Linked DNA regions of Struthio camelus. The protein of the gene in region 1 interacts with the protein of each later gene in a biochemical or structural test. Links are inferred from orthologs where the notes say so. Each region holds a gene or a part of one and is shown on either strand. Other genes may lie near its edges.

Region 1 (7,296 bases):
TATTATAAATAAAGCAGAAACTATACTCTGCTGTCGCTCCCCAAGCTGTTGGTTTTTGGCAGGTTTCTGACTGGCATGACTGCAGAACTGAGGCTGCAGCTGAGCACTGAAGTAAAGAAAACACTGAAGATATGAATTTGACTTTCCTCTCCCTTCCCCTTTGCCTGCTTTTATTCGGTTCATGGTAGTGTCATCTCTTTTACATATGAGGTGTGAATACAGATGATGACATGACTAAATGCAATTTTATGGCTGCAGTATCCAGGGGGTCAGACCAGAATGATATTGGAACGGTCACTTCTGGCTTTAAAAGTTTCCAAACTATAAAATTTTGATGAGGTGATTCAAATGCTAGCAGATTTTTGTGTGCATGCAGATGCCATTAAAAATGCACTGAAGAAATTAAAAGCAATCCCTTCTCTGCTAGCATTCATGCACAAATAATAAAAAAATCTGTCAGTGCAGTGGTTAAATGTCATGTGTAGATATATTTTAAAGGATTTAGGAAGCCTCTGTCATCATAATACCGGAAATCTTAACAGCTAGATTAAGGCTCTTGATCTCAAGGAAATTGTAAAGATCATGAGAAAGACTGCGTTTTTCTGTACTGGCTTCCACCTGGAGCTCAGTTCATCTAGACTGCAGCGCTCCGAAAGATCTACTGCTGTGCCTATGCCTGGCAGCAGAGCTGCTGCTCCTTCCACTTTTCCATAGGGAGATTTGCAAGGGCAGTCACTAATACTGCACTCAAGTTCATTTGCCCACCTTGTGCTTAACCATATAATTTTAGATCAATATAGCATAATGAGCATTGGGTGTGTGAGTTGAGAATGCAAGAGACCTGATTTTGTTTTTAATGGGTATAGAACATGTGTATACAACTTCATTATTTCAGTGTCAGAGGATTTTCCTTTTCGAATATAGTTAAGATTGTGATGTTTCTTTAAGCAGGTTATTGCAGTTTCAGCATTTTCAGGTATCTTCCCAGAACTAAGAACTCACGAAATGTTGTTTTACAAACAAGGAGGGGAAAAAATCAGCAATTTGGAGTAGACTTTGCTTCCTTAAGATCAAAGACTGTTTCTTCTGCTGTGTCTGTGCAGTGCCTAACATTTCCTGGTCCAAAATGGGACTTGTGGTTACTACTGTAACAACAAAAACAGCCGTGGTTGGCGTATGCGACAGAACTGATATATTTGCTATTTTTGTACATTCTATATCTAACTAGTGCATTTTCTGTGCAAACCAATTCAGTTCCTGTTTATTTACTGAATTCCCCCTAGCGTGTTTGCTGCCCTGTGGCTATCATTATTCCAGAGGAAGAGAACTGCATGGTTCTCGCTTTGGAGTTTGTCAGCACCATTCATTACGGAGCCAGAAAAGCTCTTGGAAGGACTGTGAAGTATGCCCTCTTCCTCCTTTTCCAGCTGGAGAAGGCACACTGCCACCCCAGCGCTGCCCAGCCTGAGCATGCTGGCAGCTGGGAAACAGAAGCTCCTGTAGGTCTCCTGTCTGACCTCTGGGAGGGTCTGTAATAAACCCTGAAGAAGAGCTCCCAAAAGATGTTTTAGCAAACAGGGACAACTCAGATCTCTGGTCTTCCAGTTATCAATTTAGCTAACACTTGAATAGTCTTTCATCGAATTCAGCACAGAAGTACAAACTAAATCATACATGTATTTATTCACAGTATAACTTTCTAAAAAGCAGAATGACAATGTTTCAGTATGATTACATTTATTCTTTTTTTTTCCAGATAGCCTACCTTTGTTTTGCTCTTGAGAAAACGTCTTCAATCATTGGATTTTTTTTCAATTTTAGAAGTGCAGCTATGTTTATTATATTTGGCAGCATGAAATGAATGCACTTTTAAAAAAGTTTGTATTTTTATTAAACTAGACTTTCATCTTAGACCAAACATGAGCTGTTTCTTTAAAAGTTACAAATGCCTAGACTGAGACACTAGTGCCACAACTCTAATAGGACTTCGCATAGCTTTTTTTTTTTTTGAGCCCTGTTTGAGTAGAGCCCACCTTTCAAAAAGGGAGGAATAAATTCACTGTTAGCACCAAAAGGCACTGTCAGCACTTGCAGTCATGGAGCACAACTTGTTCTACTGGGGTGAACTCAGTAATTCCACTCCATCTTACCATACTAGTCTTTCCTTTTATGCCTGACTGAATAAAAACGTTTTTTATCCAAAGCTGCATAATTTCAGTGTTTTAAAATAAAGTCTTAAAAGTTAGATCAGATTATTTGTTACTTCCATATTTGTTAAAAATGGGTGAGAACATGAGTGTCTGTTCTTCCGGTACAGTATTGATATATTGTCTGGCAATCGACCATTCTTTGCCTCCAACCCCTACGTTCAGTATTTTATGGTAACATAATACCAAGGAACAGTTGATGCACCTTATCCCATATCAGTTACTAAATTAGAGTAAACAGATGTGAAATTTGAGGAAGCGCTTAGGGAAATCTAGGGACTTCCCTGAAAATTAGGGTTTATAGACTATAATCCCATTGATGATAACTGAATGACAAAACCCCCATTGTTTGCATTTATAACAATTCTTGAGTGATTTCATTGTTCTCAGAGGAAAAAAAGGCCTGCTTTTGTTCATTGTTGTTACAAAGTCACCCTTGCTGTTGCAGACCAGGCACTTCCTACTTTACCTGGGTATTTTTATCCACATGACTTTTCTGTGTTTCGGAGATAAGCCTTATTCCAAACCCCAAATCTAAGTGTTGTCCCCCCCCTCCCCTCCCCTCCTGCCCACCATTTGGGGAATGTCAGATCTGGATCCAAACTTTCTAGTTTGGGCCTGTCGTTCATCATTGTAAATCAACAGTTTGCAAATCTAAACAATGTGCTCGTGTTGATTTTGGGTTTTTTTACTGTATTTCCTTTTTAGCAAACAATGGAGGTTTATTTTCTTCTCTTTGGGACTGAAAACTATGCTTGCTGTATGACCTTATTTTTTAAACTGCTGCTTCATTTGCAGGGGAAGTCCTAATGACCTTGCTCACGATGACAACCCGGGAGCTTATCAATCAGAACAAGGTTTGGCAGAGAGGCAAGAAAGCTCTCCTGCAATCAGATCTATTACCAGAGATCCCTCTGCCTATACAGAAGTTTCCTACAGCCAGTGAAGTCCTCTGCTTACACATGCTCTTTATTGCTCGGTGTAATCACAGGCTCAAGAGTCAAAATTAGTTTCTAAATGAATTTTCTTCTTTATTTTTGGTTAGTTTCTACACATGTCCCCTCAATATGCTGCAAGCCTCTCACACTGATGACTAATTTCCTTCGAAAGATATCTTTACTACCTAAATGCATTTTAATCTATGCTAAATATTCTGGACTTAATGTACAGTATGTAGAAATGGGACGACAGTCCCAGAGAGTCTGTTGCAGGTTTCTCTTTTCCTTTTTTTTTGCCCTTGTACATCAGCATGGGAACAGTTCTCCTGCCCGTTTCATTCTCCTCTTGTATAAACCGAAATTTTTCCACTGCATCACTAGGTGAGGATCTAACCCTAAACTAGGTACTCCTGTAACACAGGGTACGCTTCTTCTCCTAACTTGGCTGGTAGTATATTTTTAAACCCGCTTAAAGGCCCCAGTACTCCTAAAGGAGAGCCATAGAAATACAATACCGGCTTAGCACTTCCACGGGGAGGAACTGGCCTGCCCAGTGATGGAAAAGGAGGTCTCGTTCTCCCTCCCTCCATCCTGAGCGAATGTGAACCCTTTCCTCCTCGTTCCCATTCCTGCCTCCTCCAGAGCACTGATGTACACAAAACCCAATGATCCGTTTGACACCTGGGCACCCAAGAGGCAGTCAGAATTATTTAGACAGACCTAGATGCTCAGAATGGAAGAGGAAAGTATATAAGCCGTGAATTTTGGTAAACGTGTACAGTCATTCAAAGGACATGGTAGAAATGCCTCTTACTACCCAACAAAATAGATTTGTTACCAGCGTGAATGCAAGGTCATATTCCCCGGCTTTACTGCTGTAAATGCACTTCATGCACCGTGAGTCTATTAACACTGCAAAGCTATGGGAAGGTTTTCCAACTTCTAACCAGCTTCCGGTTACAGAAACGTGACCATCCGCCGCTGTCGGCTTCCGAACAGACCAAATCACTTCTTGCAGCCCGGTCAGAGCTGCCGGCACTGTCAATGAGAAAACAAACAAAATCCTTAAATTAGCAAAGAGGGCAAAACTAGCTACTGGGAGCGCCGAGAAACACCAACTCCGTCAAAGGCACTTCCACAACACGGTTGTCCAGAGCGCAGCGGCCCTCAAACCCTGAGGAAGCGGGGCGAGGCGGCGGGCGGCCGCGCTCCGCGCCTCACGGCCTCCCCGCTCCGGACAGGGCCGCCGAGGTGTTCTCACAGGCACCGTCGCGCCCAAGTATTTAAGCAGCCGGTCGCGGGGAGGTGTGAGGGAGGTCCGTGGCCGTGGGGCTCTGCCTGCCTCGACGGCTTTGGGGCGGCTCGCTCCCGCCGAAGGCGCCCAACGGCTTCCTCAGGTACTTCCGAGCGGTGCGGCGCGGCCTGCGCCCTGCCGCCGGGCGGGACGGCGGTTCCGCGGGAGCCGGGCGACGCGGTCCTCCCCCGCCTCCCGCCGCCGAGGGGGGCCGCGGCGGGGCTGCGCGGGGCGGGCGGCGCTGACAGGGCCCGGCGGGCGCTGCCTGCCCTCCCCGCTGCCGGAGGGGCGGCGGCGAGCGGCGCTAGGACCCGGCGGCGGCGGAGGATGTGAGCGAGCGCGGCGGCGGCGGCGCGTGTGGGGCGAGCGCGGCGGCGGCGGGAGCGCGGCCCCGTGGCGTGGCGGGGGGAGGCGGCGGCGGCGGCGCGGGCATCCGCCGCCTCGGCGGCTGCCGGCAGGGGGGCGGCTCGATCGCGCGGCGGGCAGGCGGGCAGCCTCCGCCTCCCGGCCGGAGGCAGGGCGGCAGCGGCGGGAGCGAGGCGGAGCGGAGCGGCGGGCGGGCGAAGGCAGGCCGGCAGCCGGAGCGGGTGTGGGAGCCCCATGGGCCGAGCGCCCGCCAGAGGGGGAGGAGGAGCCGCCCCACCGCCAGCCGCCCGGCGACGGTGAGGAGGAGGCGGCGGCGGCTGCCGTGAGCCCGGTTAGGCCTTAGCTCGGGAGCGTCCGCCTCGCACCCCCCCCCTCCACCTCCCTTCCTCCCGCCCTCTTCCCTTCCCCGGCAGCCGCCACCCTCTCCCATCACCTCCTCTCCCCGGGCTCCAGGCACGTAAGTGACCCGGTCCCCGGCTGGCAAGGGCTGCGGGAAGGAAGCGCCGGGGCCTGCTCCGCCGCGCCGCGCCGTGCGGGGCCGGGAGGGCAGCGCGGGGCCCGGGCGGCGGCCGCCGGTTCGCCCGCTGACCCGCCTAGGCCGCGGCCGGCGGGGGTGGTGGTGGTGGTAGTGGGGGGGGGCTCCCCCGCCGCGCCCCCCCCCCCCAACGCGGCCGGGCTGCGGCGCCCCCCGGGCCGAGGAGGAAGGTGGGGTGGGGGGGAGAGGCGGGCTGCGGCCGGCCCCCGGCGGGCGTCCTGCCGGGCGAGCGGGCTCGGGGCGAGCAGGAAGCTGTTGGCTTCCCCGGGATGCGGTAAATGGAAAGTGCTGCGGGCGGGGGGGGGGGGGGGGTGTCCGGCCTCCCGGCCCCCGCGGGGGGCGCGGGCTGGTGTGAACACCGTGCGGCAAACGAAGTAGCCGAGGCAGCTTTCCCCGTCTTCCCCCCCTTCTTCATCTTCTGCCGCCGCGTTGCGGAGCCCTTTCTGGCTGGCGGAGCAGCGAGGGTTTGCTGCGGGGGGTGTGCTGCTGCGCGGGGGCGTCTGCCGTGCGGAGGCTGCTGCGCAGCGTCGGCGGACTTGGTCTGTGCAGTCGTGCTTCGCAGACCGCTGTCTGTCTGCAGATGCCCCCTTCTCCCCCCCTTTCCTCCCCCCCGGGTGAAATTCTGCAACTGTTGAAATGTTCTTGGGGGGGGGGGGCTTCTAGCACTTTTGCTTCTGTTTCTTTGTAAAAACACGTAGTGTAATCCAGGATGTGAAGATACTGGGACTTCTTTTTTAATATATGTCTTACTGGCAATACGGTATTGATGCTAGTGTGTTTGTACCTTATCAGTATTCCCCTCCCCCCCCCCTTGGGGAAAGTGTTTAACTGTTTTCTTTTTGCTTTGTTTTTCTGCCATCCCTAATATATAATGAGAAGCAAATCCCTGATTTGCCCTTGTTTGTTTTATTTATACCACAGGAGGGATGTACATTTCAAAATACAGTTATAAAGGGGAGTTACTAACACTTAATTCAGAAGAATATTTGTTTACAGGTAAATAAATTTGACGTACTGCATGACTAGTAATTACTTTTATGTAGGAATTAATTTCCTTATGACAGCCACAACATTTGTCTGAGTTAATAGATTTAAAGACACTGTGGAGCTAGCTTTCATTTTTTTTAAATAGGAGGGTTTTCATTGTGTACAGTGTTTATAGAACTGCTTTTTGATGTGCAGCAATGGTAAATCAAATTGACCTAATGTCTGCATGTAACCTGTAGCTCCAGCATTCACTTTCTGGCTTATATAATGCCCTTATTACAGTAAGAATTAAATAGGATCATGACTGACTTCGTTTGTTTGGTGGACAGAGCAAAACTTTTGTTATGAGCACTTTAAAATGGAATTTGATTAAAATGCTTCTTAAATTAGTACAAAAATTCTGTGCAGCACAGTTCTTATGTGAGCGTAAACTGCAGAAGGACTTGTTCTTGTTTGGGAGCATAAAGAGGATTTTGTCTAGCCTGTGTCTCTGACACAGTATGAAGAAGTTGTCTCTTTTCTACCGTCACTCCGTTTTGAAATAAGTAGCTTAGTTTGTCCTATCAAACTTTAGCTGTGGTTGCAGCTTGGACAGCTGAATGTTGTAATCCGGGCCCCTCACCTGAACAAAATTAACCTCCTGTCTATTGATCAGTAGAGACACAAGAGCACAAGGCATTTCAAACTGCTGTTTTGTAAACCGAGGTTACGCCCATAGACTGAAAGAAGGTGGGCCTGGTTTTAGAGATTTGTCTTTTACCCTCAAATTACGGTTTTTCCGATCGCTCTCAGTATTAGGGAAGTGTTTCCATTCCTGGTGATAAGCCGCATGTGCCGTCATGAAATACCTGTTTAGATGTGGTGTTATTCTTAATCGAACATCACATGGGCCAATAGCAGATGTTAGTGGCCTGTCTCAAGGCCCACAATGCATTTTGTAAAGTAAGCGAAGATGCTGGAACAGACTGG
Region 2 (7,750 bases), on another chromosome or scaffold:
AGTTTTCAGCACTAACAGCTAGTTGATTCAACATAAAGTACCTGAAAAAGATCCAACAACAAAAATGTATGAAAAACTAAACTTATTTCAGATTTTCTACCAGTTGAAGAAGAGGGCAGCAGCCTGAGCACTGCCTCTAACTTTATTTAATTTACCTCATTTTTACAGGAGAGTTTCCTTTAGAATATTTATTAGTCAGAAAACAATGATAAGGCTACTTCTCACAGTTTCATTTTCTTTAATAAAGATAAAAACAAATAAGAAGTTAGGTTAGTTAATAGCAAACTAAAATTTCAATAGAAATAATTAGGTTTCCAATACATATCTTTCAACCAATACAGCAACTGGACAAAAAACTAATGCAGTACATATTTTTGTCAGACAGCTGGCAAAAGGAAAAGATAAATCTTTACTAGAGTGCTGAATCACTTTGCGTATGCAAATCTGTAACTTTTCAAGGTATTTTTCCCTTCAAAAATAAAGATCTTTTTCTATATCCTTGCAGTTTTAGGACTTAGAAAAACAAAAATCAGATACAACATGTAATTACTAAATACCTCGTAAGGAATTATCATTTGAATGATAAAACTTCTTAATTCCCACCATTATTCTCTTCCAGAACATTTCAACATTTGCTATTTTTAGAAAAACACTGTTTTAGAAATACAAATGATACGTTTAACTGTTTGTCCACTTCGGGGTGACAGGGAACAGATGGGTAGATGACAACTGCATTATTCAATATTAAACATCAAACCAAAACAGGCACTAACTAATGTACTGAAATCTCACTTCAGTTTGAGTGACATCAGCAAAATACTATGCAGCAGGTAGTGTAACCATTTATTTTTACCTGGATATTTGCACGTAAAAATAGCTTTAACTATATTTACAGGTATGAGTAAGACTATTGGATCAAAAATAAATAAAACATTTTAAAAAACCAAACATCAGAACAGCAACAAAAAGTTTGAAGCTTGATTTTGATACGTCCTTTGCAAGTCACAATTAATCATGAATTTCCACATCCCTTACACAAGACCAAGCCTGATTATTTGTCAGGAGAAAGTAAAGATTTAGCCATACAGCTTACATTTTAAATTCATACGTTCAAATTTCTCTTTTCACACTCATTAATAGAATGCCATAGGATACATTTTGTCTAATTTATTTGAAAAGATACAACTCCCACACAAATTCCAAACAACCTCTGTTGCCTAACAGCTCCATCCCCTAAAATTTAAGGACTTTTTGATATCCTTGATAAACCTGGCAGAAAGAGTGCTGGGAGCACTTACAGCATGCCTACACAGGCAAAATAATTTAGGGTGTGAATTTAAAGTGCAGTGGCAATTCTACCCTAACTTGTTTTTATGGACACACCTATTTTACTCTAAAACAGCCAAAGGTTCTTTAGCTCAATCCACACAGAAACAAAAACCCCACACTCCACACGGAAAAAGTAAACAACAAAAAAAAAACCCTGCCACGCAACAATTGCTTTTCCATACTTATTTCCTTGCACAGGGAAAAATCCCAAATTTTGAAAGATATTACACTTCCATGTATGCAGAAACCTCATACACAATTTATTGCAAAACAGTCTGAAAAAATTTTGGAGCTTAACAGGTGTTTGGTAGATTTGCCAATGATCTGAAAAAGTCAGCAATGAGCTTCTAATGATGAAAGCAACCAAATTAGTTATTCAGTCAATGCTCATTTTAAAGCTCTCAGAATAACTGAGTCTAATGCACAGCATCCATATCTCCCTAAAAAGTATATGAGGATTAACCCAACAGCACATTGCTCTTTCCTTACAAGAAGTATTTTTTTCTTTACAAGCTGTATTTAATCTAAAGAGGCTACTTTTCCAGAAGCTTGATTTAAAGGGGAAAATTAATGAGAAACTGTTAATCTTAAAAAAAGAAAAATCATCTAGTGAAAAAACTCTGCTCCCTTAGGCTATGGAAGAGAACTATGGATAGTTCCAAGGCTTTGGGAAAAAATTATGCCTCCCAATTTCAAGGCAGCATTTGAACACCAGTGGTGGTTACATAAACCATTTTACTTTCAAGTGTAAAACAGCTTCTGTCAATTTCCTCTTCCAAGAGTTGAACAGTAGATTTAACTTTGCAGTAAACACATTAGTAATACCCACTAGAAATACAGCACAAACTGGTGGATGCATAGCTGGAAGAAGTTATCGTGAAGGATAGATTTTAAGCTGTGCCCAATTACAAACTGTATCATAAAAATCAGAGAAAGCATAACCTTAAGATTTTAATCCATCTGATATAGTTTAGTTATGCCTGCAAGTCAGGTATCTGCAACACGTCTGCCTGATTTCTTACAGAAAAAAGTAATCCAAGTCCCAGCCCTAATTTTTTCTTAATCTTACTAATAAAAATGAGATCGGACATCTACACACTGGAAATATAAAGCTTGCCAGGTCCACTTGTGCTAAGAAACGTGGAAAGGAAACTAGCTAGCATTAAAAAAAAAAAAAAAGAAAAAAAGTATGAGTAGTTAAGATTTGAGTTTCCTTCCTTTCAAATAATTTTTTTCTTTAAATTACATCAGATGGCTTTGGGATTTAAATTGAACATGCAGACTGTGAAACAGAGAATGCATGGTACGGAAAAGCTGAACCAACCACGTAAAAGAAAAATGAGAGAAGGAGTCAGATGCAACACAAACTGACAAGGGAAACAGGCCTGGCTCTAGATTTAAAGAGAGGGGGGGAAAAAAGGACAAACATTGCATACAGTCCTGAAAAGACTTTTTTTTTTCCAGCCCAGGCTGTGGACTGTAACTTTTACTACTTTGCTTGCATAATTACACACACAACATTAGTTAAACAAGCACCATATTTATATATATATATATATAAAAGTAGCAAATTCTGAAATACTTCTACAATTGCATATTAATAAAGTCATTAGTTGCATTCAGAAAGATGGCAGTACATTCTCTGTCACTTTTACCTCATTTGTTAACGAAATCATATACATCCAAAGTAGGTGCTTTGACAGTACTACTATGTGACATTTTCAAGCAGTTGACAGCACTGCACTGATCCAGTCACATCATTACATTATTTTTCATCTGCAGCCTTTAGAATATGCACCATATCTGACTAGATTTCCAAGTGGTCTTGAGCCAGAGACTTCCCACCTTAAAAGCACTACCATTAGAAAGGAAGCACAGTACACATTATAAATTTTTACAAGACAGTGTTATTCACAAATTGAGCAGAGATGCAATTACTTAAACATCCTATACGCACACTTTAGCTGGGCAACCAAAACATTCCCAAAAATTAGAGTTTGACTTTTTTTTTTTAAGTATATTTTTCCTGGACATAGGAAGAACATCTAACAGACATCATCTTCTCTGAAAATATATATATTTTTTACAATAATCTATTTACAAATCTATGGCTAAATAATTCTTATGTTTTTCAGAATTCCTTTATCTTCCACCTTTTTTTAAAAGGAGCTTAATTTGGCTATATTATATGCAAGTGATACTCTTACTCATCACTCAGATACTTCAGAGTAACCCCTACCCAAGTTTACTAATGTTACTTTATTTTTTTAATCCAAAACACATATTCCAATTGTAACACTGGGTTAGTTTTTCAGTTTCACCAAGTACTCAGAACTCAAGTCCACAGTTTGACAGATCTTAGTGGAGATCTAGGTGTACAACCAGAACAAGTCTTTAACAATCAAAATATCTCCTGTTATCAGTTACAGAAAACAGCATTGCCACTACTGTCTTAAAGGAAAACAACTGCACAGTTTTTTGCTTGGACCTTGGTAGACCCTACTCTCCCTCCACCCCCACCTCAACAAATTTCAGTCTTTAGTTTCACCTTATCTGTGAGCAGTGACACACTGAGTCATTCTAAAGTCTTCAAGTGATTTCCATGAGGACAGGTAGAACATCTGCTTAATAATTCTAAACACTGTTTTCCTTTTAATCTTTAGCTTAGCAAAACTCTTGGGTATATACTTAGAGCTAAAAAAACAAACCCAAGCACGTTAACTTGGAACCAGCATCTTTGTTGTTCCCCTGCAAAATGCCTCTCCCTGTTCTGCATCCTTTTCATATAAGGTTTTTCTTCTTCTCATCTTTCCTCCTCCAGACATATCCCCTTACCTGAAGTTATCATTTGAACTACATCAGCATTGGAGTAACTTTGTCGATTTAAAAACTAATTTGGTTATTCTAGAACATCTGTACAAGTTACACATAGATACTAAACGCCACTTCAATTAGACATCATTTCAATGAGCCTGGCACCACTCCACAGAGTTTTCTGACAGGATGAACAGAAGGTTGGTAGCAAAATTACCATTAAAATAATCCTCCTAGTACTGTCTTACAGCTAGCTTCTTTTTACTTTGGTCCTGCTTCCAAAGGTAGGTGCTATTCAAGCACCTAATGTAACCCTTAAGAATTACATTCATAGTATGCAGACTACACCCATTCCTTTCACATTTTTAAAATCTGGTAAACTGTATTTTGCTTAGACAGGTAACTCTAACAATGACCTACCTGACTCAGCGAACTTTCAAATTTTCCTTGCTTAGCAAAGGCCAAGCAAGGAAAATCCAAGCAAAGGCAAATCTTGTTCCTGAGATTTCCAGCATCTCTGTTGGGGACAATTTTATTCCTCCTAAAATTTCACAGATGCTTCTGCTCGACTCAGTTACACTGCATCTATAAATGCTAACTACAGATACCACACAACATTCATATTATAGCCTCCACTAAAGTTTCCCACAGTGCTTTCACTTGAGTACAATACAAAGCAAACATTTATTAGATATGCCTTGTCAGTATTGTTGCCATTTTTAAAATTAAAACCTTCTCTGTTCAGTCATATGGCATTTAAAATTGTCATCCAATTCTAACTTTAAAATTGAGAATTTATTAAAATGTATACAAGATATATGCAGCTAAAGAAGTAGAATCTTCTTGTAAATGTAAACATTTCTTGTAAAAATAACAGAGTTTTTTGACTAATTACAAAAGGAATTTTTTAAGGCACCAACTTTTCTGGGAACATTTTTGGAGCGCACTAGACGCTAGATGTAGTTTATTCTGACGTAAGCTGCTTTACAAAAAGTGACGTTTAGCCTGCACTCACAACATATGCAGTTGGTGCCTTTGCTAACGCACTAGCAAAGTTCTCCTCTCTCTAAGCCAAAGTCTCTTTGCAGATAAGCAGAAGTGCATGATCATACTTACATTGCACCTTTGAATGCTGCAATGTTATAGAACAAACATAATTCTATTCTGGCATGCAATCTTCAACAAAATCACTAACCATATTTCAGCTTGGTGGCAATTCTAGCAAAAGGGAAAAAATCCAGCTTGAATTTCAAGTCTCTGGCCTAAGTTTACACACCATCACTTTAGTTCATTGTAAATTCAGCAAACATGTTTTATGACCTTTTGACAATACGAATTTTCAGTGTCTATCACTTTTGAGGATCAAGTTGCATATTAAAAAAAACAACTGCCCTGTGTTTTTTCCAAATTTTGTCCTAAATTAGAATCTTGAATTGTTTTAAAATTTCAGAACAAAATAGCTGTCATCACCTCATGGAACATTTTACTGTCACAGTTCTCCCCATGTGCCGTTTAACTTTTAATTTCCTTCTTCACGTAAATGAAGGAAAAAATGTATTTTTCTCTCTTTTTTTTTAAACTCTGGAACAAGAAATATAACCCTTTTGATGTAAGAAGCTTAAAAGAAACCAAGTAGCAAAGCATTAGATCTTGAAGTTAAAGACACTCAAGACACCACACAAAACTTTCTAGCCATATCTCCTAAAACACTGGAAGCATGCTTTCTGAAGGTCTCTACCGGCCTTAAACATTCACATTTTAAGGGGCTAAACTGAGAGTAGTTATTGTACACTGGGCTGAAATAATACTCACCCTCCTGAAGATGCTTTATTGTTACTGCAAATAACATTACCTGGACTCTCAATCTGATATAGACAGTGAGGACAAACATCGAATGACCTTTTAATTTTTACAAATCACATCAAGAATCTGAACGGGCCAATCCCTTAAAAAAAACAAAGAAACAAACAAAAAAACCCACACTATCTACAAGGTAATCCTAAGAAGTGAAACCTGCACTGGGAAAACTCTTCACTGAAATATATATTCGGTAAGAATCAAACTCATAATAGTTGGAACTACAGTTGCTAGACTTACACAAGGTTGTTCAATTGTTACAAGATAGATTCGTCCTTGTGTAAAACTGTTGTACAGTTTTCTTAAAGAGACCAAGGATCTAAACTTCCAACTTCCTAGTTAAACTCTTCTCTAGCTCCAATAAGGATAGTGTTTCATAACTTAGAGAAAGTACTTCAAGCAAAGTACCAGTTAATTATTCTATTCCCACTGCACATATCCACCGACTGCTTTTCTTTCGGTGCTACTAATAATTTTTCAATCACCACGAATACCTGTTAATGTCAAATACATAAGCCAGGTGCCACAATGCACCGATTTCTTCATCTTCACCTAACCACACATTTTTTGCAGAGGGGCAGCTCTGTCCAGTACCCTCCTTCACACCTTCCCAAACACCCTGGTTTCTGAAAGCGCTCTGTACACCCGTGCTTGACAGCCTTAGAGCTAAAAATCGCAATTTCCAGCTCCCCACAAACTTTCTTGCAGCGCTCTGGAAAACAAGAGCCAAACGGTGCCCTTCGCCGTTAGGAAGTTCACTCGAGTTGCCGGTCTGGCAGGTTCCCCCCCGCCCCTTAAATAGTTTTTCTTCCTGAACTAAGAATTTTCAAAGGCAAAGGGGGGGGGGGGGGAAGGGGGAGGAAGAAAGGAAACACCTATGGGGAAAAGAGTGCCCAAACAAGCACAAGTTTATAGGACGAGTGCGCGGAGATGCACAAGCCGGAGGGCGCCGGGCTCGGCTCGCCGGGCAGCAGCTTCCGGGAGACGAGGAGCCCACGCGGCTGAAGCGGACCTGTCCCAACCCCTCGGCGGGGACGGCGGGAGGCAGGCAGGGAGGGAGGAATACTCCGCTCGCCCACCTCTCTCGGGGGAGGAGTGGGGGGGGGGGGCGCGGATTTCTCCGCGGGTGTCAATCAGCCGCTCTGAAGCCTTGCTGGACACGCTGAAAAATCCACGCATCCTTCAACAACACTGCGCCCAACGCCGCCAGGCAAGCAGCCGGCTCTGCTCCACGCCGCCTCTCCCGCGCAGCGCGGCGCCTCGGGCCGCCCCCCGCCCGCCCCCCCTCCCGCCGCCGCCGCCGCCCCCCGGGCCGCCTCTCGCCGACCTGCGGCCGGGCTGCGCGGAGCCAACTTAGACAAAGGGCACTTACAGACTCCATGCCGCTCCCCTCCAGCTGTCACCGGCCGGCGCGCTCGCCACCCCACGCCGGCCACCGGCTCCCCCCCCCGCGCCCCGTCCCGGCCCGCCCCGCGGAGGCTGCCCGGCGGCAGCCACCGCCCCCCCCCAACCCCCCTCCCCGCCGCCCGCTCCCTCCTCCCCTCCCCCCATTACAAAGGGAGCCGGTTATAAATAGCCGCTCCCGGCGCCAGCGCCTGAAGCCCGCGAGGTGTCGCTCGCTCGCTCACTCACTCACCCGCCCGCCCGCCCTGGCCTCGCGCTGCCGCGCCGCCGCCGCCGCCGCCAGCTCCGCCGCCAGCTCCGCCGCCAGCTCCGCGCCGCTCGCCCGCCCGCCCGCGCTCGCTCACTC
Region 3 (7,456 bases), on another chromosome or scaffold:
GGCCCTATCCTGAACTTTCAGGAGGCCAAGGAAATGGCCTAGCAACCCAGCAGTGCAGATCAGTAGGGGAGTACAGCAGCAACAGCTGTCACCCCTCTCTCTTCTCCTGCCTCTGCAAAGAAGAAAAAAAAAGTCTCTTATATCAGCTAAAGATGGGTAGGTTATGTTCATATTCTTCTTCAAAAACAGTCCCCTCCTTTGGCTTAGAATGGGCAAGGCTGTCCAGAAGTCTTCTCACAAGATGAATAGGGCCGTACACATAGCTATGCTTTCATGCTGTCTGCAGACTTAAGGAATCACTATTTATGTTCCAGTTATGTTTTCAACTTTTACTTTGCAACCACAGGCCTACAAAATTATGCTATGAGGAAAACAAGCTAAAAAAGTCACAAAATAATTGTCATTTGTGGATCTGGGGTCTAGGCACAGATTTCCTTCTTTGCAGAAGACGCTGAAATTATAATCTTTGTGGGGCCAAAGGAGATGCAATAGAAATAGGGATACTTTACCTATAGAAGGACAAACACTGCACTTCAAGTTAACAAGGTTAATTTCTAAAACTGTGCTTTCAGAAATTGTAGGCCACGCACTGTATTAAATTCTGACAGGTCTGTTGCAGAGAATGGAAATGTAAAAGAACAAGATTGTCTTCTCTGCGTTTAGACAAATTATAACAAGTGTAATTTTTATACAGTTCCAAAAGATTCCTGAATGTGCATCCCTGGAATAATTGAACTATTTAAAGCTTCACTACAGATAACTTAATGTTTCTACCTCCTGTTGCTTCAAAGTGAAGGAACGCTTCCAACTATCTTATCAGTTCTACTAAAGCCAAAATACAGTATTTTACTTTCCAAGGAGAAGAGGGAGACAATTTCAAACTGAATCATACCATTTAGGAGAGTTGCACATGTCCTAATGAAATCAACAGAAATTGAAAACTATGAGTGAGTGATCTTTGGGAGTGCTGGGAGTAGGAGAGGAGGAGCAAAGATGGATTCTTACAATTTAGGTGGCCCACTGGTCCACTAACTGAGGACACAGTACCAGTCTGAATATATACCTCATTAGACACATGAGGATCTGGATGCGCCACCTTGGGGTGGGGGGAGCATTTCAGCCAGCTCATATTTGGGGACGTAAAGCAACCACCTGCTACCAGGCTTCACTGTTCCTGGGGCTGACAGGACTACTTTCTGCTTTTTCACATTACCTGCAATTATATTAATATTTGTAGATTATACTTAAATATTTTTACTGTCTATGTAAAGAAGTAATTGTATTTTAATTATAAAACACGTAGTGCTGTATCCTTTTGAGGAATGAGGACTTGGGAGTGAAAGAGATACTAGCTTTAAAAGGAGCAAACAATTGATGTGATCCTGGAAAATGTTATAAACGTGACCGGAATGTGCAGAACTGAACTCTAATATTGAGAAGCTTTATTCATTTAAGATAGTGTTGCAGGAGAACAGTAGCTTACACTGTCTTCCTACTCACCTGCCCAGTCAAGAGTCTTCCCCTGAATGATCATGAGATGCGTTGAAGAGGAAAACATCTAGCGCTACAGGTATTTACAAAATATTGTGAAAAGAAATAATATTCTGTAGGCCCTTGACGACGAAAGAATTACATTCCTGTTACTTTTGATGAGTGATGATGAGGGAGAAAACAAATCTGTAACAAACCCATACTATTTATGGCTTTATATACAAGACTTTGAATTGAGCTTCCTAAATAGCCAGTTAACTCAGGTTGCCACGTTCTACAGCTGATACTGAATCTTTACGCCAAAGTTCCTGCATTTGTTCCTATAAGGGTGGCCATGAAGCTTGTCTTGTGGAGTCTCTCCAGGTAAAAAGTAAGAAAAACCAGTGCATCCAAACAACCCACAGGTTGCAGATTACAGTGATGCTGCCTAGCCCCTTAAAGCGGAGCCATGACTTCTAAAAATTTCCTAGACTAATACTCCTGAAAACTCCTGACAGCTAGGCTAAAAATGGAAGCCTTCTGTTTTCAGTGTGGGATTAGAAAAACACCTCAAATTTTCTCCCTTTTAGTTAATTTCAAGCAAGCTCTGTCAAAAGAGGGTTCAGAAATCAAAACCAAACATCTCCCCATCCTATGACACCCAGTTTCACCCCTGTCAGCATGGCTACATTTTAAATAACCATCTCGCGCGGCTCTGCAGCTGAGCTCAAGCTGAGCCAGGAGAGCAGGGATTCGCTAGGGTAGGTACCAGCAATGCACTGGTGTCTAGAGGCTGCCAGTAGCTTTATGTAGGCACTGATGTGATGAACGGTAAAGCCAACTGAACAACCCCTAGCTTGTCCAATTTTTTGCAGCTATTACAACATGGTAAATAGCTACCCTATCAGCAATGCATTCTGAACTGACGTGAGGGTTTATCTCACTGAAAATGAGGTAAATTCTTTTACAGTTTGACAAGGTGTACGTTACAGAAACGATAAAGCTTCTTCACAAGTTTTTTAGGGCTGCTAGTCTTACCCAAAAAAAAAAAAATCATAAATGAAACCTGACTGTTTCTGGGCACCTTTTCTGAAATTTCAATTTTCCTCTTGTGTTCATCTCCACCTTTTATAAGCAATCATTTGTTGGGCTAAGCCAGTTTACAGTATGTTTCACAAAGAAGACATGATGCAATATTTATCTAAAATGTAGTAGTCTGACTGCAGGAATGGTGAGCAATAGCAATACTGAGACTGTGTGCAAAGTGAATTATGGGTTATATAAAAACCTGCCTAAAACTAAAAATATTTAGAACTGCTTAATCAGAATTTAATCTAAAAATATATATACCAACTCAGCATAAAATACTTTTCAGGAATTGATTAGCTAGCTGCTGTTATTAGCATGTAGCTAATATTTGGGCTATCAACTCCTACTGGCCAGTCTTCAATTCTCAGAAAATGTTTTATGCCCAAGTCACTGTTGCCTAATTAGAGCCTGCAAGAAAAACTGATGAGCCAGGGAAGTTCCATAGTATTGCATGCACAATTGTGTACTATATACTGTTGCCAGATACAGGGAGCTTCGCGGCTGGTTATTCAGGCTTTTACAAAAATGCTTTTGTAGTTGTCTTTAAGGGCTAGTAGTTTATTGGCAGTTATTTCACCCATGTATCACCAGACTCCTATTTTGATCCAAGACTGTAGTTTTCCCTTTGCTTTCTGTTATTTCTCTTGTTTCACAGGAAGGCTAGTCACGAGTTCACTCCAAAGATCGAGTTTGGGGGAAAAAGAAGACCTGATTTTATTGAAAAAGAAATCTCACTGCAAGAATCAAAACAAAGCCACTTTCCTGCAACTTCTTATGCATAAAATACAAATTGCATAGTAATATTTCAAGGTCCATAGTTTATTTTGCTACTCCTAAACGTTCTCTTCAGTTTCATATATATGGGAAAAGGTCACTGATGCGGATTTTTTTTTTTCCTAATCTTCAACAGTTAGGATAAATACCACATCCAGACATGTGGGTTAGAAAAACTAATCTGTTTAGATGCTACTCTACTTGGATTTTTTTTTCCCCAACATTGAATTTCAGTCACTTTATTGCATTTTGTCCTTTTGTGTGTGTGCAAAAGTAAAGGTATTTGGGAAAATGCTGCTGCAATTTAATTTATATTACATGGAAGAGAAGATGGATTTAGTTTGAGATTTTTGTAAAATGCTTTGTGAATAAACTACATAATCTATTAAGCAGATACCATCCCGTATGTTAATGCAGTACTTGAGATTTGAAATGCACAAGTGGCAAGAGATGGCTTAAGGACAATAGCTTAGGCAAGCAAATTGCTTGTCATCGTTTGCTTTTCTGTAACCAGGTCGCCCCCCCCCCCCCCGCTCTCCCCTTTCCCTGCTAAATCCCTCCAGAAAGCTGGATTTTGTGTTAATGGGGGTGTGTCTGGGTTTCATCTTAGGAAGACCCCCCGCGCCCCCCTCCCCCGCATCGCTGAAGTGCACGGTGAGGGCTGCGGGTCGCCGCTCTCGACCTAGGGAGCGATGAATCCCCCATCTTCCTCTTCACGGGCGTTAGCAACTCCCCCTCCCCACCCCCCTCCTCCTTTCTTTCTTTCACCGACGAGCTTTCCCTCGCTTTCCCAAACGGGAGCCAAAGAGGTTTTTTTTTTTCTCTCCTGGCCCCCCACCCCCGCCCCTGCGGGTGCCGGGCCGCCCGCCGCCCCCCCCCCCCCCCCCGCGAGGCACGGCGCGGCCGTTGGGCTCGCGCGCCGCCAGCGCCGCAGCGGCAGTGCGCGCGCCGCGCTCGTGCGCGCCGGGTGCTGCAACGGTGCCCCGCCCCTCCCCCCCCCCCCCCGGCCCTTTTTAATTCCGCCGCCAGCCACCAGCGGCCGTTGGGCGGGGGAGGAAGGGACCCGAGCTGGCGGAGGGATAACCTTTTTCTTGAGGCGGCCTGGGGCGGAGGGATCCATACGGTGGAGCCGCCCGTGGGCGAGGGGGGGGAGGAGGGCCGGCTGAGGCGGCGCGGTCGGGCCGGCTGGCTGAGGCGAGGTGGCCGTTATTTGGCAGGAGGGGTGGAAGGGGAGGTGGTGGCCCGGGGGGCGCGGGAGCCTGAGGCTCGGGGGTGGCTGCAGAGCCGCGGCGGGCGGGAGAGCCGCTGGAGCGAGGCGGGAGGGGCTGGGGGGCGGCCGGGGAGCCCGGCGGAGGGGCCGGCGGGCGAGGAGAAAGCTGTGACGGGCGGGGACGGGGGGAGCGGCCAGCCGGGGGGAAGGGCGAGGTTGTGGGGAGAGGCGGCGTGTGCCGGTCCTGTCCCTATGTTGCGTCGTAGTTTAGTGGAAAAGGGAAGGGGTTAGAAAAGGGAACTAATTAAAAATAGCCTCTGATCCCTGCTGGGGGCTGGTGTCCTCTCTGGGGCTGCCTGTGCCATTTGGGGGGGGGGGGGTCATTCTCTTGTGTGCAGAAGCAGCCTGAGGGGCTTAGCGCCGAGTGGGGGTGGGGGTGTATGCCCCTCTTCTTCGCTTAACCTCGTCTTTTTTTTTTTTTTTTTTTTTTGGTGGGGACGGGGCAGGATGAGCTTGCAGAGTTTTACTGGATTTTCTCCTTCCTTTCTGAGGAGCTACCGCTGCTGAAGCAGATTTTTCCTTCCTTTCTTTTTGTCTGATGTAGAATCCTAGTAGCTAGGCAGCCTCCCTCTTTTCTTCCTTCTACCCCTTCAGTATGTAGGAAGGGAGAGACATCAATGGAAAGGCCGAAATACATGTAGATGGACTTTCAAATGCTTTTTTTTTTTTTTTTATTTGGAAAGAGGAAGATAGAGCCTACTTGCCACCGACTTTTTTGTTGCTGTTGCACTGCTTTGTAAAAATGGGGTTTGCTTACTCCAGCTGAATCCTCTCAGTGTTTTAGCAAGTTGCTACAGTGGAGGACTTCTCATATTTTTTGCATCAGAGGAGCAACATTGATGCTAACCTTTTTTTTGTAAAATGGAGAGCGAAATATTCACACCCCTTTTGGAGCAGTTCATGTCTAGCCCTCTTGTCACCTGGGTAAGCATTAATTTTTCTTTACACGTTATTCTTGTATTTGCTTGTTGTTTGAGGATAAATGCCTTGCTGCACAGAAGAGGATGGAATTTGTGTCACAGTGTTGATGATTATATTTTAGGTTAAGACATTTGGACCGTTAGCTGGAGGAAATGGGACCAACCTGGAGGAATATGTGGCGCTAGTGGATGGCGTGTTTCTGAACGAAGTCATGCTGCAAATGTGAGTGTACTCGAGTTGTGTGTTGGATTTGGTTATTACTGTTGTCTTCCCTTCTGTATTTTACTTTCTTAGGAAAGCTCTTCTTACCTTCAATAACAATGTTAGTAAAAATGTCTTCTTTATTTTATGCTTGAAGTAGTCTTGTGGCTTAAAGCATTCCAGATACTCTTTATTTGTTTGCAGTACAGTATTTTTAATGCCAAAATGATGTATTTGCAGGAGGTATACGGTAATACAGGCAAAGTCATATCTAGAACTTACTGGAAAATTGCGCTTGAATCACTGTAAATGCAGTTTCCCAGATTTCCATTTAGAAGCATAAAGGTTCGTTCTACTGTAAGTCGCAGTCATAAACCAAATTTCTAAGCAAATTGCTTGGTTAATAAGATTCTAATGCATATCTTAGTTCATATGGTATACAACTTAAGGATAGTATGTCAGTCAGCGTAATGTTGTCTACTAACCAAATGGGCTGTTCTGTAATTCTTTTCGCTTTGTTTTTCACAGTGCCAAGTTTGAGTAAATAGAAGTTGTGTAGTAAAGCTGAAGTGTTATTTGATAGTGTAGAATGTTTTTTGGGTTGCAAACCACAGAAGAAACCTTTTTACATGTTTTCTACAAGTGTTTATTGAAAGCTGTGATTGGTAGAAAGCTTGCTATGTAATTTTATTGATGTAAGATATTACAAGCTATGTATTTATATGTAATTTAGAAGGCAGGTAGATCAAGAAGTTCCAGTCATAGAAATACAGAAATAGTCAACTGTGTGTTGTATTGTGTGTGTGTTTTTTTTTTTTAATCATAGTTTTGACTGGAATGTTGCCCACTACTGTAATGCTAGCGAATAACACTTTTGTCAAGTGCATAGCAATATAATCATAAAACTGCTACCCGTGGAAGAAAGATCTCAATTTTTTCCAGTATTTTAGATCTATACAGAGAAGTACATCTTTTCTTTGCATAGCTATGAGTAAGTGTAGGCTTATGAATGGCTTGATAAATAACGCCAATGTGTGAGCAGCTCGTAATGACAGCTGTTACACTGCTCAGTGATAGGCATCCTTGTACTGTGTTCATAGTTCTTACTTCAATTTTTTTTTTTTTTGCTGTTGGTGTTTGGCATGTTTAACTAATCTATGTAAAAGCTCTGCTCACCACATTTAAGACTGAATTCTCATTCTTTAAAACCAGTATCTTGTCACCAACTTCTGTGCGTATAAATTCCAAGTACTCGTTTTCTGTTGTTCTGAGAAACATGGAAAACTTGGAGTAGAAATTTCTGTAAGAAATCTTGAACTTGAGTGTATTTCTGGCATATTTTTGTAAAAAGAATTGTAAGTGATGCATTCACAGAAACCCTATTTTTATTCTACAGCTTAAATGTCTTTACTTGGTTTAGGTATAAACTAGGTGTAGAACTTTCATTCAGTAAAAACATTGGATAGTTGGAAGCGAAGGCCTAATTTAGAATTGGGACAAGGTGATTTTGAAAAATGCAATCTTGAAATTAAACTCTCTCAGCAAGTTTTTGCAGTATTAAGAAAGAGTATAACCTGATTAATACGTATATGGGAAGTCTGCTGCCTTTGAAAACGTAACTCAAATGGAAAGTTGTAGTGAGGGAATATTCCCATGCTTCGAGCGCTGTGTTTTGAATTTGACTTTAACTTTGTGTGTGCATCTTTGGCCCCATTCCCTGGAGTACTACAG
Region 4 (7,375 bases), on another chromosome or scaffold:
GCATCCTGCCAAGCTATGCCAACGGGATTTGAGGGAGAGCGCACACAGCTCCCTTTGCTTTTCCTGGATACGTAACTGCTTAATTTGCAGTATACCGTCCATATACAAAATCAGACTTGGACAATATTTGCTAACAATTAAAACAAGTTTTTAGGGGAATTTCCCCCAGCATTTAAACAGCTTCAATTGTATTTCCACCATAGTTTTCTGCTTGCTGGTTGAAGTCCACAGTTTTAAGCTGCTCTAACCATAAGGTGGGCTGATCACAAGCACAGCTGCTGTCACTCTGCCTTCTCTCATCTTCCCTCACAAGAAGTTTCTGTTCTCCCCGCTTTGCTAAAGCTAGCCTGAGTTAGCCCATTCACAGGCTGCAAGACTACAAGTGAACTTCATCAGCAAAAAGTCAAACTACATCAAACAACTCCAGCAACAGTGCCAGAGCAGGGCCCTCAACTCTCACACACTTACGCACAAAGTGTTCTCATCTCTGCCTCTCCACAAGCTAAATCCAACCACGCTTTTTCCAAAATTGACAACACATGATGAAATCTTAAGAGTAAAGCCAAAGGTCCTGTTTCACACTAAGGACTACAGCAAAAGAACAGTCACACTGGATCAAGCCAGAAGTCCATCTATACCAGCATCTAGCCTGATAGGATACCTCACTACGCTCCTTCAACTTCCCCAAGATATCCTGGGCCATATCTAAGATGCCACACCGAACTTTGGTCTCAAGCTCTGTTATCTATCCCCAGACCTAGGTCCTGAAACACATCTCACAATAAAGCATCTCAGTGCCTGCTTAACTCCATGTGCCAGCTTCCTCAGCCTTAAGGACCGAGACGCAGTAGGATTCATTTACAATACAACCGCTTCACGTTCATAACTACTAGAAGGTCAGGAAAAGAGTTTGTACCGCAGAGAACCCAAAGGGAGCGTTCCAGCTGCAAACTCATTACTGCCAAACAGACAGAGACATTCCCAAAGAGAAAATGCACCAATGTAATGTCCTGTTTGCCAAAATAATACGATTCCACGCAGCAGCAGGCGGCCCAGGACAGCCTGCCTAGCCCAAGCAAGCAAAAACTGTCTATCAGTGAGACCTCAGTTCTACTGAGGAGAAAGCAAACGTATCTAAGCACGCTGTCTCAAGTCAGCACTTGTTAATAGGGATTCAACCTGCATGACGGAAGAAAAGAAAAAATGAATAGTCAATTTTAGTCAAACTCCTTGCACTCCCCAGGAACCTTCAGTGAGCTGGACAAATGGGAAAGGTGACATGTTTTGCATTAACCTATGCCAGCTTAAGCTGGGACAGCTGCGCCCCTCTCACCACGTTCCTACCCTCTCTTGAGCAAACACCAGCATTCATGCAACCGCACGGTGTGCCACTTCAGAGAGCTGAGCCAGCTGAAAGCTAACCTACCAGAAAAAACCATCAGTTTTCTGCAAATTCAACTCTCTGAGCTGACTTGCTGCTTGATCACACAGGCACCAGCTCACAGGCAAAGGAATGCCCGGCTGGAGTCGTGGAAGCCCCAAACCATATGGGCTCAAGCTGCCACAGAACCGCGCCACGGCAGCGCTGCTAACCACAAACAGAGAGATACTCTGCAAACAAGGGGAGCGTAGCGTAAGTGTAATTCCAGTGTGCAGCAACAGATCACACGCTTTAGATTCCAGTCACTCTGGCAGCCTCTGTGATATACGAGGACAGCACAAGGGACTATTTCACAAGCCAGTTCTCACATCTCCCTTTCTTTTTGCTCGAGTCCGTCTGACTAAACGGAACGGGAACACCAAGCTGCCACCTGCAGAGGACGGAAATGGAAGTTAGCTCTTATACTAGAACTTAGCACGTGCCTATTGCCAGAGCAACAGGAGAAGATAATATAGAGATTTTTGAAGAGCATGTTCCTCGGTCTACTTTCCCTTTTCCTAACTCCAGCAGAGGTCCTCAGTCACTACGCAGCAGAATCGGCATTGCTCTGGGACACAGCACCCTTTCTGAAGGGAGGTTCTTGAAAGCCAAGAATGTCTGCTATGAAACAGTTATTTATACTGAGCTTTCGCACAGGGGCTAAAGAACTGCGGCCTTGTATTTAAAGGCCCTTTAACCGATGCTTCATCTTACACAGCCGCTTAGCTAGAGTCTCTCCACTGACCCCTGACTCCCTCCCTGGAAAACTTTCAGGACGCAAAGCGAACAAGGAGCAGCCTTTCATGGCAAGGCAGTGACCGAGCGAAGCCCTGGGCTGGCGCCCAGCGAAGCCCGTGCCTCCGCTCAGGCTGTGCGAAGCCCGGAGCGGGCCCCGGAGGAGCCCAGGGGACAGGCCCGCAACACCGCGGCTGCCAGCGGGCCCCGACCGAGCCAGCTAACGCACTCGAGGCCTGCGGCGGGACACGGAGCAACAGGTGAACAGCAGGCTGTGCGCAGAGGGCACCGGCAGGGCCGAGGTGACAGGCAGCGGCCTACCGGGCCCTCCCTCACCACGGGGCCAGCTCTGCCCGGTGCAGCTCCCCCCCCCACCCCCAACCTCTCCCCAGCCCTCACACCCCGGGGCGGCCCGGGCACCCCCCACCCGCCGGGGCCCGCGGCGCGCACCTTCCAGCCGGCGGAGCTGTTGCTGTCGCCCTTGTCCTTGAAGTAGGGCACGGAGCGGACCATCCACTCGTAGATCTGCGCCAGCGTGAGCCGCTTCTCCGGGGCGCTCTCGATGGCCTGGCTGATGAGCTCGGCGTAGGACTGGTTGCCCCAGGCGTTACGCCGGGAGCCGCCCTTCCGCGCCGCCGCGCCGCCCGCCCGCGCCCCCTCGGCCCGCCCGGGCCCCGCCGCCGCGCCGCCCGCGCCCTCCTCCGCGCCGCCCGCCGCAGAGCCGCCCGCCTCCGCCGGCGCCGCCGGCAGCTCAGGCCGCGGCAGCGGCCAGGTGCAGGAGCGCGGCCGGCTCTGCGGCTCGAAGTCGGGGTCGATGTCCAGCCCCGCGGCGGCGGCAGCGCCGCCCGCCTCCGCCATGGGCGCCCGCCTCAGCGCCGCCGCCGGGCCTGGGCCGCGCCGCCGCCGCCGCCGCGCATGGACCCGGCCCGGCCCGCTGCCCCTTTGTGAGACCCGGGCCCCGCCGCTGCTGCCGCGCCGCTCTGTTTACCAGGGAGCAGCGCCGCGCTCTGCGCCTGCGCGCGCGGGGCGCCCCGGGAGTCGTAGTCCCGGCTCGGCTGCCCGCGTGCGCCCCGGCCCCGCCGCTGTACTACAACTCCCGGCGCCGCCCGCGCCCGACGGGGCGGGGCGCCGCCCCGAAAGGCGAGCGTGGCAGGCAGCGCGCCGAGAGAACTACACCTCCCAGCGGGCACCGCGCCGGCCGCGCTTACATAACGGTGGCCCCGCCCCTGCCGAGCCGCCTGTCGGGCCCCCTCCCTCCGCGCTGTTCCCGGCACCGCCCCGGCGGCCAGTGCCCGGCCGAGGACCGGCCCCGGGGCCGCAGCCACCGCCCAGCCCCGTTGCCGCTGCAATGGCTGGGCTCTAGGCTTGTGGCTCCTTCAGCCTTGTTGCCCGCTCGGGCCCTGCGGCCAGCCCTGCCGGGAGCCTGTCTGCTCCTTTCCCCTTCCCTGCCCGGGCGGTGAACCAGGGTTGGCAACCAGGTTCCGGGGCTGCGGCCTCGCCGCGCTACACAGCGCCCGGGGTTGGCCCAGCCCAGGACGCTGTATAGCAGAGCCCTCGCCCTTCCTCCGGGCCGCGCCGCGGCTCCGAGCCCCGCTCCCAGCGCGGCTGCCTCAGCCTCGGGCTCTGCGCGGTCCCAGTGCGGGGAAGCGGCCGGGGCGGCGCAGGCGGCGCGGGGCCGCGGCGTGAGCGAGTCCTGGCCTCAGGTTCCGGGGTGGCGCCGCCGCTCGCCCCGCGCTCTGCATAAACGCCGTGGTTTTGCAGGCGGCGGGCGGGCGGCGGCGCAGCGTGCGCGGGCGGGGCGGCGGCGGGGACCCCGGACCCTGGATAGGCGGAGCGGTTTTGCAGGCGGCGGGCGGCGCGAAGCCGCGGCGTGCGCGGGCGGGGCGGCGGCGGGGACCCCGGACCCTGGATAGACGGCGCGGTTTTGCAGGCGGCGGGCGGCGCGAAGCCGCGGCGTGCGCGGGCGGGGCGGCGGCGGGGACCCCGGACCCTGGATAGGCGGCGCGGTTTTGCAGGCGGCGGGCGGCGCGAAGCCGCGGCGTGCGCGGGCGGGGCGGCAGCGGGGCTGCGGCAGCGGCCGGGCGGGGCGGCGGCGGCGGCGGCGGCGGCAGCACCACCATGTCGGAGGCGGCGGTGGCTGACACCCGGCGCCTGAACGCCAAGCCGCAGGACCTGACGGACGCGTACGGGCCGCCTAGCAACTTCCTGGAGATCGACATCTTCAACCCGCAGACCGTGGGCATGGGCCGCGCCAGATACACCAGCTACGAGCTCCGCATGCGGGTGCGGCCCGCGGCGCGGCCTCTGCGGGCCGGCGGCGCAGGCCCCGGTGGGGGACGACCGGGGAGGGGGCCCGCGGCGAGCTCGGGGGGAGCCGTGGGGGCAGGGGATGGGCCTGGGCGGGCGGGGGGGGGGACGTACTCGTGAGGGGCGAGGCCGGGCCCTGCGAAGCCCGGGCTGGGGCTGGCTGCGGGCCTGGCCGCTCCCCAGTGGGCGAGGGCTCAAGGTCGGGGCGCTCGCCGCTGCAGGAGGGCCTTCTCCGTCCAGGCAGGCCTGGGCACCAAGGAGGGTGCCCCCCGGCAGGCCCCCAGGCCTGGCGCTCAGCCGCGGGAAGCGGCTGCCCGCAGCTGCCTCCTCCAAGAGGGAAGGCAAGCCAGTTGTCAGTGCCTCGGGAGCCCATCACGCTGCGGTGGAGCTGCCGTCTGCGAATAAGCTCGGTCGCTTCACAAAGAGCCTGCGGTCCTGAAGAGCGCGTAGCAGGCTGAGCGCTTCTTGCAGGGTTCTGGGCCTTAATTGGGCTGAGGTGGTGACTTCGAGGCTCGCTATAGGATAGCGCAAGTAAAACTGAGCTTCTCCTGAAACAAGGTGCTGCTAGTGTACGTTACGGTGCTGGCGTTGGCTTCTGTTCCACGGCATGATTTAACTGCTGCGTCTCCGCTGCCTTTCGGAGGAGGATTGGGTGTTTGCTCTTTTTCTGTCCTGATGCTTGGTTTCGTTCAACCTGCCAAACAGTGTCTGGCAGATGGCAGTGAGAACCGCTTAGTGTCACTGAGACTAGCTCTTGCAGAGATGTTTCAAAAGCGGCTGGTTTTGTTTTGCGGACCTGATGAGAATACAGTTATGTGTGTGGCAGCACCACCTGTGTACATCTGGTGCTGACTTGTCAGAAGGTTCTGCTGCCTTAGTTCCTTGATTGTTTCAGGATGTATTTATTATTGGCAGCGTGAGGGTGAAGTTGCTGTAGCTTTCAGGCTTCCGACTCCGATGTGGGGGGAAGAAGGGAGGGGAACTGCTGCAAAGTTCCTGTCGTGGCACAGGCCAGATATGGAAAAGGTGCTTTTCCATTTGGGTAGTCAGTCTGTTCTGTAGAGAAGATTGTAGCACGAGATCTGGCCTTGGGCAGTTGCTGGGACAAGATTTCCTCCCTTAATTCTTCCATGGAAACGGCAGTGCCAGATGGGAGGTTCTTTAGCTCTGGAAGCTACTACGAAGCTTTCTTGAACACCAGTTCAAAATGGAGTGAACTCGGAGGGGGTGAGGGGGGGGGCGGGAAGCCTTCTCTGTACTGTAAGCCCTGGTTCCAGTGTGTGCCCCTGGGAGGGGGTGTTTTCCTGAAATAGTAACTTGAGGGGGAGGGAACGGCTGGCTTCAAGTAGCCTGGCAAGTGCTTGCTTGATTTTTGAAGGGCTTCAGTGCTTATGTCCTGAATAATGGAGCTGGGTGTTCTCGTGATGCGTTCTTCTCAGGGGGCTTGGCTTTCTAAATGCAGCTTTAGGTTTCGATTACATCTTGAAATGCTATCTGGCTTCTGAACCAACCTGCAAATTAACTACTTCTCTTCGTTACAGACAAACCTCCCCATCTTCAAATTGAAGGAGTCGTGTGTGAGGAGAAGATACAGTGACTTTGAATGGCTGAAGAATGAGCTGGAGCGAGACAGTAAGGTGAGGCCTAGCTCGGACCTTTGCTGCAATGGGGTCACACGGTAACAATTGTAGCAATGATCATGTCTTACCCAGAGGAGAGGCTGTGGTGGGCTGCTGCTGCTGAGGCTTGATCTCTGGCCAAGTAATGGTGCTAGAGCTGAGCATCAAACAGCGAAGGAAGCCCTCTTGCAGGAGGCAGTTCTGCTAATGGCGATGATTCTGCGCTTTCAGATTGTAGTGCCACCGCTGCCTGGAAAAGCTTTGAAACGACAGCTTCCATTCCGAGGAGACGAAGGCATCTTTGAGGAGTCCTTCATTGAGGAGCGGAGACAGGGACTAGAACAGTTTATTAACAAGTAAGCTTGGTGTCCTGGGCTTGCTGTGTGCTTGCCCTCCTGGCTGCTGCCAGCAGAAAAGGGTTGTGGGTTGACTAGGAAGGAATCCTGATCCACTGTGTGCGAGTGCCACGCTAAAGGATGGTGCCTGCAGCTGGGTAGTGAAGTCACATCTCTGAAGCAAGTCCTGCCTTGACTGTGGACTGTATTCAGTGCTCTGTTCTGAGACTGAAGTGAATGTTAGCAGATAAGTTGTGCTGCAGAGACTCACTGACTGCATAGTGTTGTTTCAGGATGCTCGTGACCCTGCTGCAGAGCGTGCTAGTGGAGGGATTACTCTGTGCTCAAGCATCTCTTGCTGGCCCTGATACATGCCGATCCAGTGACCTTGGCCTCGCCCCAGAGTGGCTGTTTCAAGGCTTCAATTTGATCGGGAAAAGCCCAAGTCCCTGGGTTTGCTCCCCTTGGGCAGGTCAGGCCTCCCAAGGCTGTGGAGTGATCATGACATTTTTGTGCTTGAGGCTGGTCCCCGTTAGTGAAGTTTACCTTATTCACTCACTACGCAAAGTGGATTTGTGGGGACCCCTGTGGTGGCTGTGCTAACCTCCACTTGTGCTTTTCTTCCAGAATTGCTGGACACCCACTGGCACAGAATGAGCGCTGCTTACATATGTTCCTGCAAGAGGAGACTATTGATAGGAATTACGTCCCAGGAAAAGTGCGCCAGTAGGAGCACCTGGCACCGTCTTCCTCCATTCCACCCTCCCTCCTGCAAAAATGACATTTATTTTTACACTAAATCTGTCTTCTCTGAACCAGCTTTTCCTCTCTTGAAGCTCCCAATTTGTTCAGTATTTTCCTCTTTTGTAACTGGCAGCAGTCTGTTCTACTGGGCTGTGGTCTTGGCCTAAAGGTATGAAGATTTATGCAAGTGAATGTGTTGTCCTGCACCTAGCAGC

What was found.
Region 2: of the proteins of AKT1 (region 1) and EZH2, one has a biochemical effect on the other in vitro, tested with the Homo sapiens proteins (2 studies listed by BioGRID). The link is inferred for Struthio camelus from reciprocal best matches to the Homo sapiens genes AKT1 and EZH2.
Region 3: the proteins of AKT1 (region 1) and CCDC88A form a complex in vitro, tested with the Homo sapiens proteins (2 studies listed by BioGRID, with this or other methods). The link is inferred for Struthio camelus from reciprocal best matches to the Homo sapiens genes AKT1 and CCDC88A.
Region 4: the proteins of AKT1 (region 1) and FOXO4 form a complex in vitro, tested with the Homo sapiens proteins (2 studies listed by BioGRID, with this or other methods). The link is inferred for Struthio camelus from reciprocal best matches to the Homo sapiens genes AKT1 and FOXO4.

Annotation. Positions count from the first base shown.
Region 1 is NC_090946.1:73,935,900-73,943,195, reverse strand, and holds the start of AKT1 (RAC-alpha serine/threonine-protein kinase), read left to right. Parts: upstream 1-4,279; 5' UTR 4,280-4,542; intron 4,543-4,672; exon of another isoform or gene 4,673-4,768; intron 4,769-4,964; exon of another isoform or gene 4,965-5,262; intron 5,263-6,261; exon of another isoform or gene 6,262-6,336; intron 6,337-7,296. UniProt on the Homo sapiens protein: AKT1 is one of 3 closely related serine/threonine-protein kinases (AKT1, AKT2 and AKT3) called the AKT kinase, and which regulate many processes including metabolism, proliferation, cell survival, growth and angiogenesis.
Region 2 is NC_090943.1:62,688,331-62,696,080, forward strand, and holds the start of EZH2 (histone-lysine N-methyltransferase EZH2), read right to left. Parts: upstream 3,005-7,750; 5' UTR 2,990-3,004; coding exon 2,985-2,989; intron 1-2,984. UniProt on the Homo sapiens protein: Polycomb group (PcG) protein. Catalytic subunit of the PRC2/EED-EZH2 complex, which methylates 'Lys-9' (H3K9me) and 'Lys-27' (H3K27me) of histone H3, leading to transcriptional repression of the affected target gene.
Region 3 is NC_090944.1:118,737,106-118,744,561, forward strand, and holds the start of CCDC88A (girdin), read left to right. Parts: upstream 1-4,451; 5' UTR 4,452-4,532; intron 4,533-5,049; 5' UTR 5,050-5,464; coding exon 5,465-5,527; intron 5,528-5,645; coding exon 5,646-5,746; intron 5,747-7,456. UniProt on the Homo sapiens protein: Bifunctional modulator of guanine nucleotide-binding proteins (G proteins). Acts as a non-receptor guanine nucleotide exchange factor which binds to and activates guanine nucleotide-binding protein G(i) alpha subunits.
Region 4 is NC_090952.1:25,564,316-25,571,690, reverse strand, and holds the start of FOXO4 (forkhead box protein O4), read right to left. Parts: upstream 3,014-7,375; coding exon 2,606-3,013; intron 1-2,605. Other genes in the region: SNX12 (sorting nexin-12), read left to right, coding at 4,274-4,438, 6,004-6,099, 6,313-6,437, 7,044-7,146. UniProt on the Homo sapiens protein: Transcription factor involved in the regulation of the insulin signaling pathway. Binds to insulin-response elements (IREs) and can activate transcription of IGFBP1.